Linked DNA regions of Kluyveromyces lactis. The protein of the gene in region 2 binds, or shares a complex with, the protein of the main gene of each other region. Links are inferred from orthologs where the notes say so. Each region holds a gene or a part of one and is shown on either strand. Other genes may lie near its edges.

Region 1 (2,408 bases), about 160 kb from region 2:
TAGCTCCTAAGACACCAGCGACTTTCTTACCCATAGTTATAGTATATTATAAGTAGTGATTCTTTCTTAATCTTCCTAAGCAAGATTCAGATCCTCTTTATCGCTTTAGAATAAATACGATCAAGAAAATGAGATAAGTATATTAGAAGCAAAGTAGAGCAACGATGAATGCTACAAGTGTGTACAAATATATACCTGGTAGTAAGGAATCGGATGTTAATGTTGATATTCTTTTCAACTGATGTCATATCACTTTGACGAAAAATTCCAACTGACTCACACTCTCTCTGTGTGAAAGAAACCGCAGGTGAGCCCATTGGAAAAGAAAAAGTTGTGTATTTGAAGTCACGTGGTATGTTGCAATTAGGGTGAGCTCCAAGCTTATGCATTGATTATAACGGTCACTGTATGTAACTTAGCGTATGTATGTATATATATATATATATATATATATATAATGAATGAATACCCTCCCGATTCGTGGGTAGTGCAAATCAGCCGTCTATTCAGAGTCTGATGACGATTCCGAGGATGAGGATGTTTGTTTGCTGTCACTGGAGGTTTGTGAAGATTCCGGCACATCAGCAAACTTGATCTTTTTCCCTCCAGTAGCAGATTTAGCCACCGTATCTTCTTCTGTATTACCAGTAGAACTTGTGCTGGAGGGTTCCATCTCCATTACTTGAGGTGGTAGACCTTTGAAATCTCTTTCGACTCTTTTCAGCTGCGCAAGAGCACTGGAAAGCTGTGTATCTAGAGCCATTTCATCGGCACTAATGCCACCAGAAGTTACTGCTCCCTGGGTTGTAGAAGCTCCGCTTGACGCTAGTGTCACGCCTGGTACTGATTCCTTTTCGGCAATGAAACTTGCTAGGAATTGTAGTACTTCGTCTTTAGATAGGTATGTTGGCGTGCCCACCGTATGTACCACAACGGGCGTGTTCAAAGTGGAGTTTGCTGGTCTTCTAGTTCCCCTTAGCATGGTATACGTGGTTGTTCGTTGGAGTGCGATGAATCAAATCAGCATCTATATATTTACCCAACCTTTGGCTATCTCATCTCATCTCATCTCATCTCATCGCATTATTTCGATTCAGGTTTTGTCTCTCGAAGAATTTTTCAGCTGAGGCACGGGTAACTCAGGCATGTTTCTCCGTGCCTTGCGATGTTAACAAAATATGCAAGTCACGTGTGTCACGTGACTTGCGGCGACAATGCGGTTGATGTGTAAGATAATGGGGTTTCCGTTTTCGTTACCCGGCCGCATGTCATCACCTAATACCATTTTGCGAAGCCAACGCCACCCTTTGTTAGCAACTACCAACCACTTTCTCAATTGAACTCTGATTCAACTTCAATCCAATTCCAATTCAAGTCCAGTTCTTGCTCTTCTGTTCTGGTTTGCAAAATCTTGGTTACAACACACCAAGTATCAACTACTAAACTAAACTAAGAATGTCTAAGGTATTTTTCGACGTGGAAGCTGACGGTCAACCATTGGGTAGAATTGTTTTCCAATTGTACAACGATGTTGTTCCAAAGACTACTGAAAACTTCAGAGCTCTAGCTACTGGTGAAAAGGGTTTCGGTTACGCCGGCTCTGTTTTCCACCGTGTTATCCCAGACTTCATGTTGCAAGGTGGTGACTTCACTCACGGTACTGGTGTCGGTGGTAAGTCTATCTACGGTGCTAAGTTCCCAGACGAAAACTTCGTCAAGAAGCACGAAAAGCCAGGTTTGTTGTCCATGGCCAATGCTGGTCCAAACACCAACGGCTCTCAATTCTTCATCACCACTGTTCCATGCCCATGGTTGGATGGTAAGCACGTCGTGTTCGGTGAAGTCGCTGATGGTTTCGATGTCGTCAAGAAGGTCGAATCCCTGGGTTCCGGTTCCGGTGCTACCAAGGCCAGAATTGTTATCGCTAAGTCTGGTGAATTGTAAGGAAATAAGCTAGGGAATTGACTCTTTTTTTCATTTTAATCCTTTTTTCTTCCCTTTATCACACTTCAATCGCTCGGGATATCTATATATATACTTATGTCTATAACAACCCATTGACTAATTGAGTGTATTTGATCTCACTCAATTGGTAATGGAAGACACTCAAATACATATATACAACACCCTTTTATATCAATGGAAGTTTATGACTAGATCATCATCTCTCCTCTTTGGCCATTAACAAATGTAGCTACCCAATGAAAATGGTTACCCGGGCCTGTTCCCTTTTCTCACCTGAAATTTCCCAATTTAGCTGCCCTCTGCAATCAGCGCAACCTTTACAAGACTTTTCAACATAAAATAATGATCATGATTAATGATCAGTGAGGATACGTTCGTCATTTCAGTGCGGTAACCCGTTGTATCTGCAGTGGTACGCTATTGATCACGCTGGACAGGCTATA
Region 2 (2,776 bases):
CTTGATTCCCCATGGTGCAATCCGCTCTCGCAGCAAGAGCAACCTTGGCAGAGACCATTCTAAGCGCCTGTTTCTGGAACTCAGGAGGCTGTGTTTGTACCACGTCTGTATAGAATAGATATCCCTTTTGTCGTACCCCAGAGATATCTAACGATTTGCCATGCAACGTTTTGTCCTGGCCAATGGATGCCAAATTACAACTGGGAACCACACTTAGTTCTTTAACACTACCACAATGTGTTACCAGTTTAGCTGCAGTATCAGGTCCCAATAAAGCACATAAGTTTGGAGCTACCATTTGTATTCTTGTCTCAACATAGTGTGAGACGTTGTCCCGTAAGTTGTACAGAATATCGAACCAATGGATGGCCTTGGAGAGGAGATCCTTATCAATTCGAGCACCCTCTTTGAAATCTGTCTTTAGAGACATAGATACCACAAGGGTTTCCTCCTTCGATAGCACTTGGTCTAATTGCACGTTGGGAATATCCTGTTGCAGCATCTTGACCACGTCGACGTATTGTTTCCTTTCAGGGACAATAGTTTCCAACCCAGGGAACTTGGCCTTGTAGGTATCTACAATGCATTGAAACACCATGGAAAGCTCTGTATCGAATAAAGGCATCAATTGGCCCAGTTTTATGACATTGTAAGGCTCTGTCGTATGGTTTGTTGCATCTCGTATTATAGTTTCGTGCTTGGCAAGTTGGATGAGGTCATCTAAATCCGCGCCTTGGTGCCAGAATTGCGCGTGAAAGTCAGATATTAGGTTGCTAACACTAGGAGAGGGTAAAATATCCGATTCTGTGGCTATACCACTGGTTATACCACTGGTTACACCACTTAACCCATCATCCAAGCTTTCCTCATCGCTGACACTTCCATAATCTTCGTCATCTAAAAGGTCCATTATCACCTTGTGAAAGAGTAAGACAGGGGAATATGGTTATCCAGTTACAATCCAACTGTAAAATACCACATACTGAACTAACTGAGGATGGTCAAAAGAGCAGTAATCGACTAGTACCTGCTCTCGAGTAGCTATCTCATCGCATTTCTACCAATCTTTAATCATATATAATCACTCTATACGATGTGATCTTTTCTTTTCCAAAAATTTTTCAGTTCTTTAAAGCGATGAGATGAGCTTGAGATGAGGTATCTACACCGATGAGACGGACCTTGACCAGTGTCATAGGGCTTTTCTGAGGTCGTTTGAGAGCTCAAGAGGTAGCATAAACGTAGCAATACAATTGAAAAAGGATGTCCAATATCGTTGGTGTTGAATATAACCGTGTGACGAACACAAGTTCAACAGATTTCCCTGGATTTAGTTCGGATCAAGACAATTCATGGGACTTGGAGAAGTTCAAGGAAACTTTTGACGTACAAATCGAGAGTTTGGATGAGCGTGAAGTGAATTTCGATTTGGTTCATGTCGACACATCGATTGCTAACGCTTTCCGTCGTATTATGATCTCAGAAGTACCATCTGTCGCTCCAGAATACGTCTACTTTTTTAACAATACGTCTGTGCTACAGGACGAAGTGTTGGCGCATAGAATCGGGTTAGTGCCATTGAAGGTGGATCCAGATATGTTGAGTTGGGTGGACACGTCATTGCCCGAATCTGAAAGGTTTACAGATGAAAATACGATAGTGATGTCGTTGAACGTGAAATGTACCAGGAACCCAGATGCTCCAAAGGATTGTGAAGACCCCAAGGTTCTTTATAGAAACGCGCATATCTATGCTAGGGACCTTAAGTTTGAGCCTCAGGGGAAACAGGTGGAACAATTTGCCAAGTGTCCCGTGGTGGCAGCGGATCCAGATATCTTGTTGGCCAAGTTGAGACCAGGTCAAGAGATTTCGTTAAGGGCACATTGTATTCTAGGTATCGGTGCAGACCATGCCAAGTTCTCTCCGGTGTCGACAGCTAGTTATAGACTATTACCACACATCCAGATCACACAGCCTATCACCGGTGATGATGCCAAGAAATTTGTGAAATGTTTCCCTAAAGGTGTCGCAGATGTCAACGAGAAGGGTGAAGCTTATATCAAGGATCCAAGGAAGGATACCGTGTCCAGAGAGGTGTTGAGACACGATGAGTTCCAGGGGAAGGTTAAGTTGGGTAGGGTGAGAGACCACTTCATCTTTAACGTGGAGAGTTCTGGTGCTATGACACCGGAAGAAATCTTCTTCAAATCGGTCAGGATCTTGAAGAACAAGGCGGAATACTTGAAGAACTGTCCAATCTCACAATAAGAAGCCAATTCGCATGTTCTCTATTTAATATCATCCACTCCCTTCCATACACAGACAAACCGTGCATCATAATTCCATTTCTTTCATTCCCTGTATCATACGCATTAAGCCACTCAGTGAACAGATTAGGCACTTATATATATTCATATATAAAGAAGCCACTACATCTAAACTAGTTTAATGTACATTTGTTTTTAGATTCAACTGTGTTACACCATCGCATCTACATTTGTCGGTTCAAACGTCTCCTGATCCTGCGCCATTGGCCGTGCTTTGGTTATAAGATTTTCGATCATGGCTTTTGGATCCACTTCGAGTATCAAGACGTTACCATTATATCCGTCACTCAGATCACTCTGGGCTTTCTGTGTATAGGTTTCGTCCGCGACTTCGTGATCTTTGAATGGTGAGATGGATAGTACAGTTACGAGGAATAGCCCTACTTGAAAGAATAGAATTAGCAGTTGGTAGAAAAGGTACGATGCGTTACCCTTAAAATTACTCGAGG
Region 3 (3,025 bases), about 870 kb from region 2:
ATGTATCACTGTTGCAAAGGGACAAAATGACATTATCGTTAATTCTCAAGGTGAACGTTGGGAAAACGACGTTCAGGGATCTATGAAAAGATGTGGTGGTCAGGGTGACACACTGACCGGTATAATCGCAACCATGTTTGGTTTCTCTCGTGCAGTGCATGATTTCAAATTGGAAACAATAGTAGAAGAAGGTAACGGAGAAAATCTTCCTTGGTCCAAAATGGCTATGCTATCTTGTTTCATCGGATCTACTGCAACAAGAATGGCTAGCAGGGCTGCTTATGATAAGGTAGGCAGACAATTGCAAACTACTGACATGAACAACATGGTGGGAGAAGTGTTCAATGAGTTATACCCTCCTTCACAGTGAACCACTGAGAAAGAAAAAACAGACTCATAAGTTGAACGCTTTTATTATTAGTTTGTAATTAGTTCTTGGCATATATACATACATCAATTACGAACACTCTTTTTATGACTAAATTACCTTTGCATCTAAACTTCACAGCGTCCATTCGTCAAAGTATAGGACATCTTTATCTGAACTGGAAGCTGCCATGGAATTTCCGTGACTGAATATAGAATATTCTTCTCTTTTCGAACTTTGTTGTCCCCCAACAGGTTGAGTCATCTGTAAGACACTTTGCAACGTTACTCTGAAGCAATCAAAAGATACTTTCTCCAACTTATCGTCATATACAAGAACTTCGCACAGTGATCTAATATCTGGTTTCGTTAGTTGTTCTGTAGATATTCCTGATTCAGAAATAAATTCAAGGATCTCTTCGATCGTGGTGTAACTTTTGACGTTACTGGAATAGAGTGCGTCTCTACCGTTTTCGTCGGAAAAGTTGTTAAAACCATTTGGATATGTTCTTTCCGCTGTGAATCTCCAAACGATGGTCAGAAGACTGTTTATAAACTCAACGTCCAATTCACTATCTGTGAACCACGGACCACCTGTTACGTCAATGGATGGTTGCAAATTGTAAAGCATGTATATCTTTCTGGTTGGGTATTTGACACTCTTTACACTCTTTACGTACCTCTGTGATTCAAGTGATTTTAAACATTTCAGAACCACATGTTGGTGTAAATTTGTCTTCGCCTTGATCGTTTTCGTCCATATACCCTCTCTTCCACTAGCTTCGATGTATGAGTAGACAAGAGCCTCATCTGAGCTCATCCCGCTTTTCTTTTCTGCTTCAGCTGCATCTACTGCTTGGAACTTAAGTTCTTTATTCTGTTTCACTAACTTCAATAGATTCTTATCCAAAAGTTCCTGAACATATTGCATTAAATCACTTAACGAGCAGTTGTCTAACATGGAAGTTAACTCTTTTTGAGAGAACAATTTACCAGTTTCTTGAGAACACATCTTCTCATGCAGCTCTCTGGCTGGATCAGAGAGCTTTATTGTTGAATTAAATAACGAATTCATTATCGGTTTCGAAGGAAAATACACCGTTTGCGTTCCTAACAATAATAGAGGTAGGCCTAAATAATGGTTCAATAGATCAGTTTGTAAATTTGTCAGGCGTCTGACTCTTTCATCAATTATTAGTTCGATAAGTTGAACCATTCCTCTTCTCATCGCGTGCTATTATTTTGAGCTTTGATCAGTTTTTTTTTTTTGAATCCATTCCAAAAGAAAAGCGGCAAACAGATGGAAGTTATACACACAATATAGTCAATGGAGAACATAAAGAGATCCGATACATGAAAGTACTTCTATCAATAAATGAACTTCCCTGTACTAGGCTTACGGTAATAAGAGTTGTATTCTTTTGAATATATATGAACTTTCAGTATTAAATAGATTCTAATTTTGTGTTTGAGTGGCTGTTCGTCACTCTTTTTATAAGCTCCATGATTTTTTGATCACTTTTGCTCAATAACTATCAACTTAAGAGCGAAATAGCCGAATATTAGGAATATGACATTGAATAGCGCTAGTATTTTGACATCGAACACTAGGTTTTGTACGATGAAACCGAATGTGCTTAGGATAGTGGCACCTGGGATTTCAATATTGAGACCATACTTCTTCTCTCTAAGAACCAAAGACTTGACTTCATTGATAATCAAAGATTCGTAGGCGTAATAGAACACTGAAAGGTTCTTCAAATATTTGAACAGAATATTGTTAATATCCTTAGTGTTGATGAATAATCCACTGAATAACAAAGAACCAAGGATTATCAAAACACTGATTATAATCGAGTTATTCAAGTCTTCAAAAATGATACCAACTGTCAAAATCTCCAGTGAGATGGCAAGGTTGAATAAGATTAGAATACCTTCAAATTTGAAGAACCCATTATCATTCATATTTAAACCAACCAAAGGATAAAGTATTAACCCAAGTAGGATAGGTGGTACCACACGTAATGGAATAATATCAGATAGTATTTTTGAAATGTAATACGCTAGCGGAGAATAGTAATGATTGGAACGTTCCTTGATAAAAATCAATCTTTCCAAAGAGAAGGAGCTTAACCCAGTGAATGTCAGGAAACCGAAATACGTTAAAATAAAGAAGAAAAGGCCTAGTCTGTTTTGGAATCCACTGATATCGTTTTCAACATTATAGTATAGGATACCCAGGAATAAACCCAAAGCTACCGTCAAGACGTAGTTACCTAACAATAGCTTTGGATTCCTGCAGACATTTTTGAACGTTCTTGAACTCAAAATTGAGAGTTGCTGCAAGAAAGTTGCCGCTTTGTATGCTTGTGGAATTCTTAATTCTTCGTTTATACCGGCAGACAAAATTTCATTAATTTCAAACTTCAGTTTCTGGAAATATGCACCATCTTTGAAAAGAGAATGTAATAGGTGCGTGTTGACATCACCCACAGTTTGGCCCTCGTTTTCGGACTGAGATAACAAATCCCTAAATTCGTCCCTGTGAAGAGCCAGATGTTCCCACTCTGTCTGTGTTGGGCTTCCAGTCAAAGAACGGCGATGCGGCTCAACCCTGTGAACTGGGTTAAGACCCTCTGTAGTAGGTAGTGTAGCCTCA

What was found. The genes of interacting proteins can lie anywhere in the genome.
Region 1: RPC40 (region 2) and RPA14 share a complex: the UniProt entries of both Saccharomyces cerevisiae proteins name them as parts of the RNA polymerase I (Pol I) complex. The link is inferred for Kluyveromyces lactis from reciprocal best matches to the Saccharomyces cerevisiae genes RPC40 and RPA14.
Region 3: RPC40 (region 2) and RPC34 share a complex: the UniProt entries of both Saccharomyces cerevisiae proteins name them as parts of the RNA polymerase III (Pol III) complex. The link is inferred for Kluyveromyces lactis from reciprocal best matches to the Saccharomyces cerevisiae genes RPC40 and RPC34.

The regions. Positions count from the first base shown.
Region 1 is NC_006040.1:1,414,721-1,417,128, reverse strand, and holds RPA14 (DNA-directed RNA polymerase I subunit RPA14), read right to left. Parts: upstream 983-2,408; coding exon 503-982; downstream 1-502. Other genes in the region: HOM2 (aspartate-semialdehyde dehydrogenase), read right to left, coding at 1-34; peptidylprolyl isomerase CPR1, read left to right, coding at 1,456-1,944. UniProt on the Saccharomyces cerevisiae protein: DNA-dependent RNA polymerases catalyze the transcription of DNA into RNA using the four ribonucleoside triphosphates as substrates. Component of RNA polymerase I (Pol I) which synthesizes ribosomal RNA precursors.
Region 2 is NC_006040.1:1,252,515-1,255,290, reverse strand, and holds RPC40 (DNA-directed RNA polymerase core subunit RPC40), read left to right. Parts: upstream 1-1,263; coding exon 1,264-2,268; downstream 2,269-2,776. Other genes in the region: U4/U6-U5 snRNP complex subunit PRP31, read right to left, coding at 1-910; GLD1 (Gld1p), read right to left, coding at 2,767-2,776. UniProt on the Saccharomyces cerevisiae protein: DNA-dependent RNA polymerases catalyze the transcription of DNA into RNA using the four ribonucleoside triphosphates as substrates.
Region 3 is NC_006040.1:383,852-386,876, forward strand, and holds RPC34 (DNA-directed RNA polymerase III subunit C34), read right to left. Parts: upstream 1,595-3,025; coding exon 503-1,594; downstream 1-502. Other genes in the region: NNR2 (NADHX dehydratase), read left to right, coding at 1-370; putative ATP-dependent permease ADP1, read right to left, coding at 1,882-3,025. UniProt on the Saccharomyces cerevisiae protein: DNA-dependent RNA polymerase catalyzes the transcription of DNA into RNA using the four ribonucleoside triphosphates as substrates. Specific peripheric component of RNA polymerase III which synthesizes small RNAs, such as 5S rRNA and tRNAs.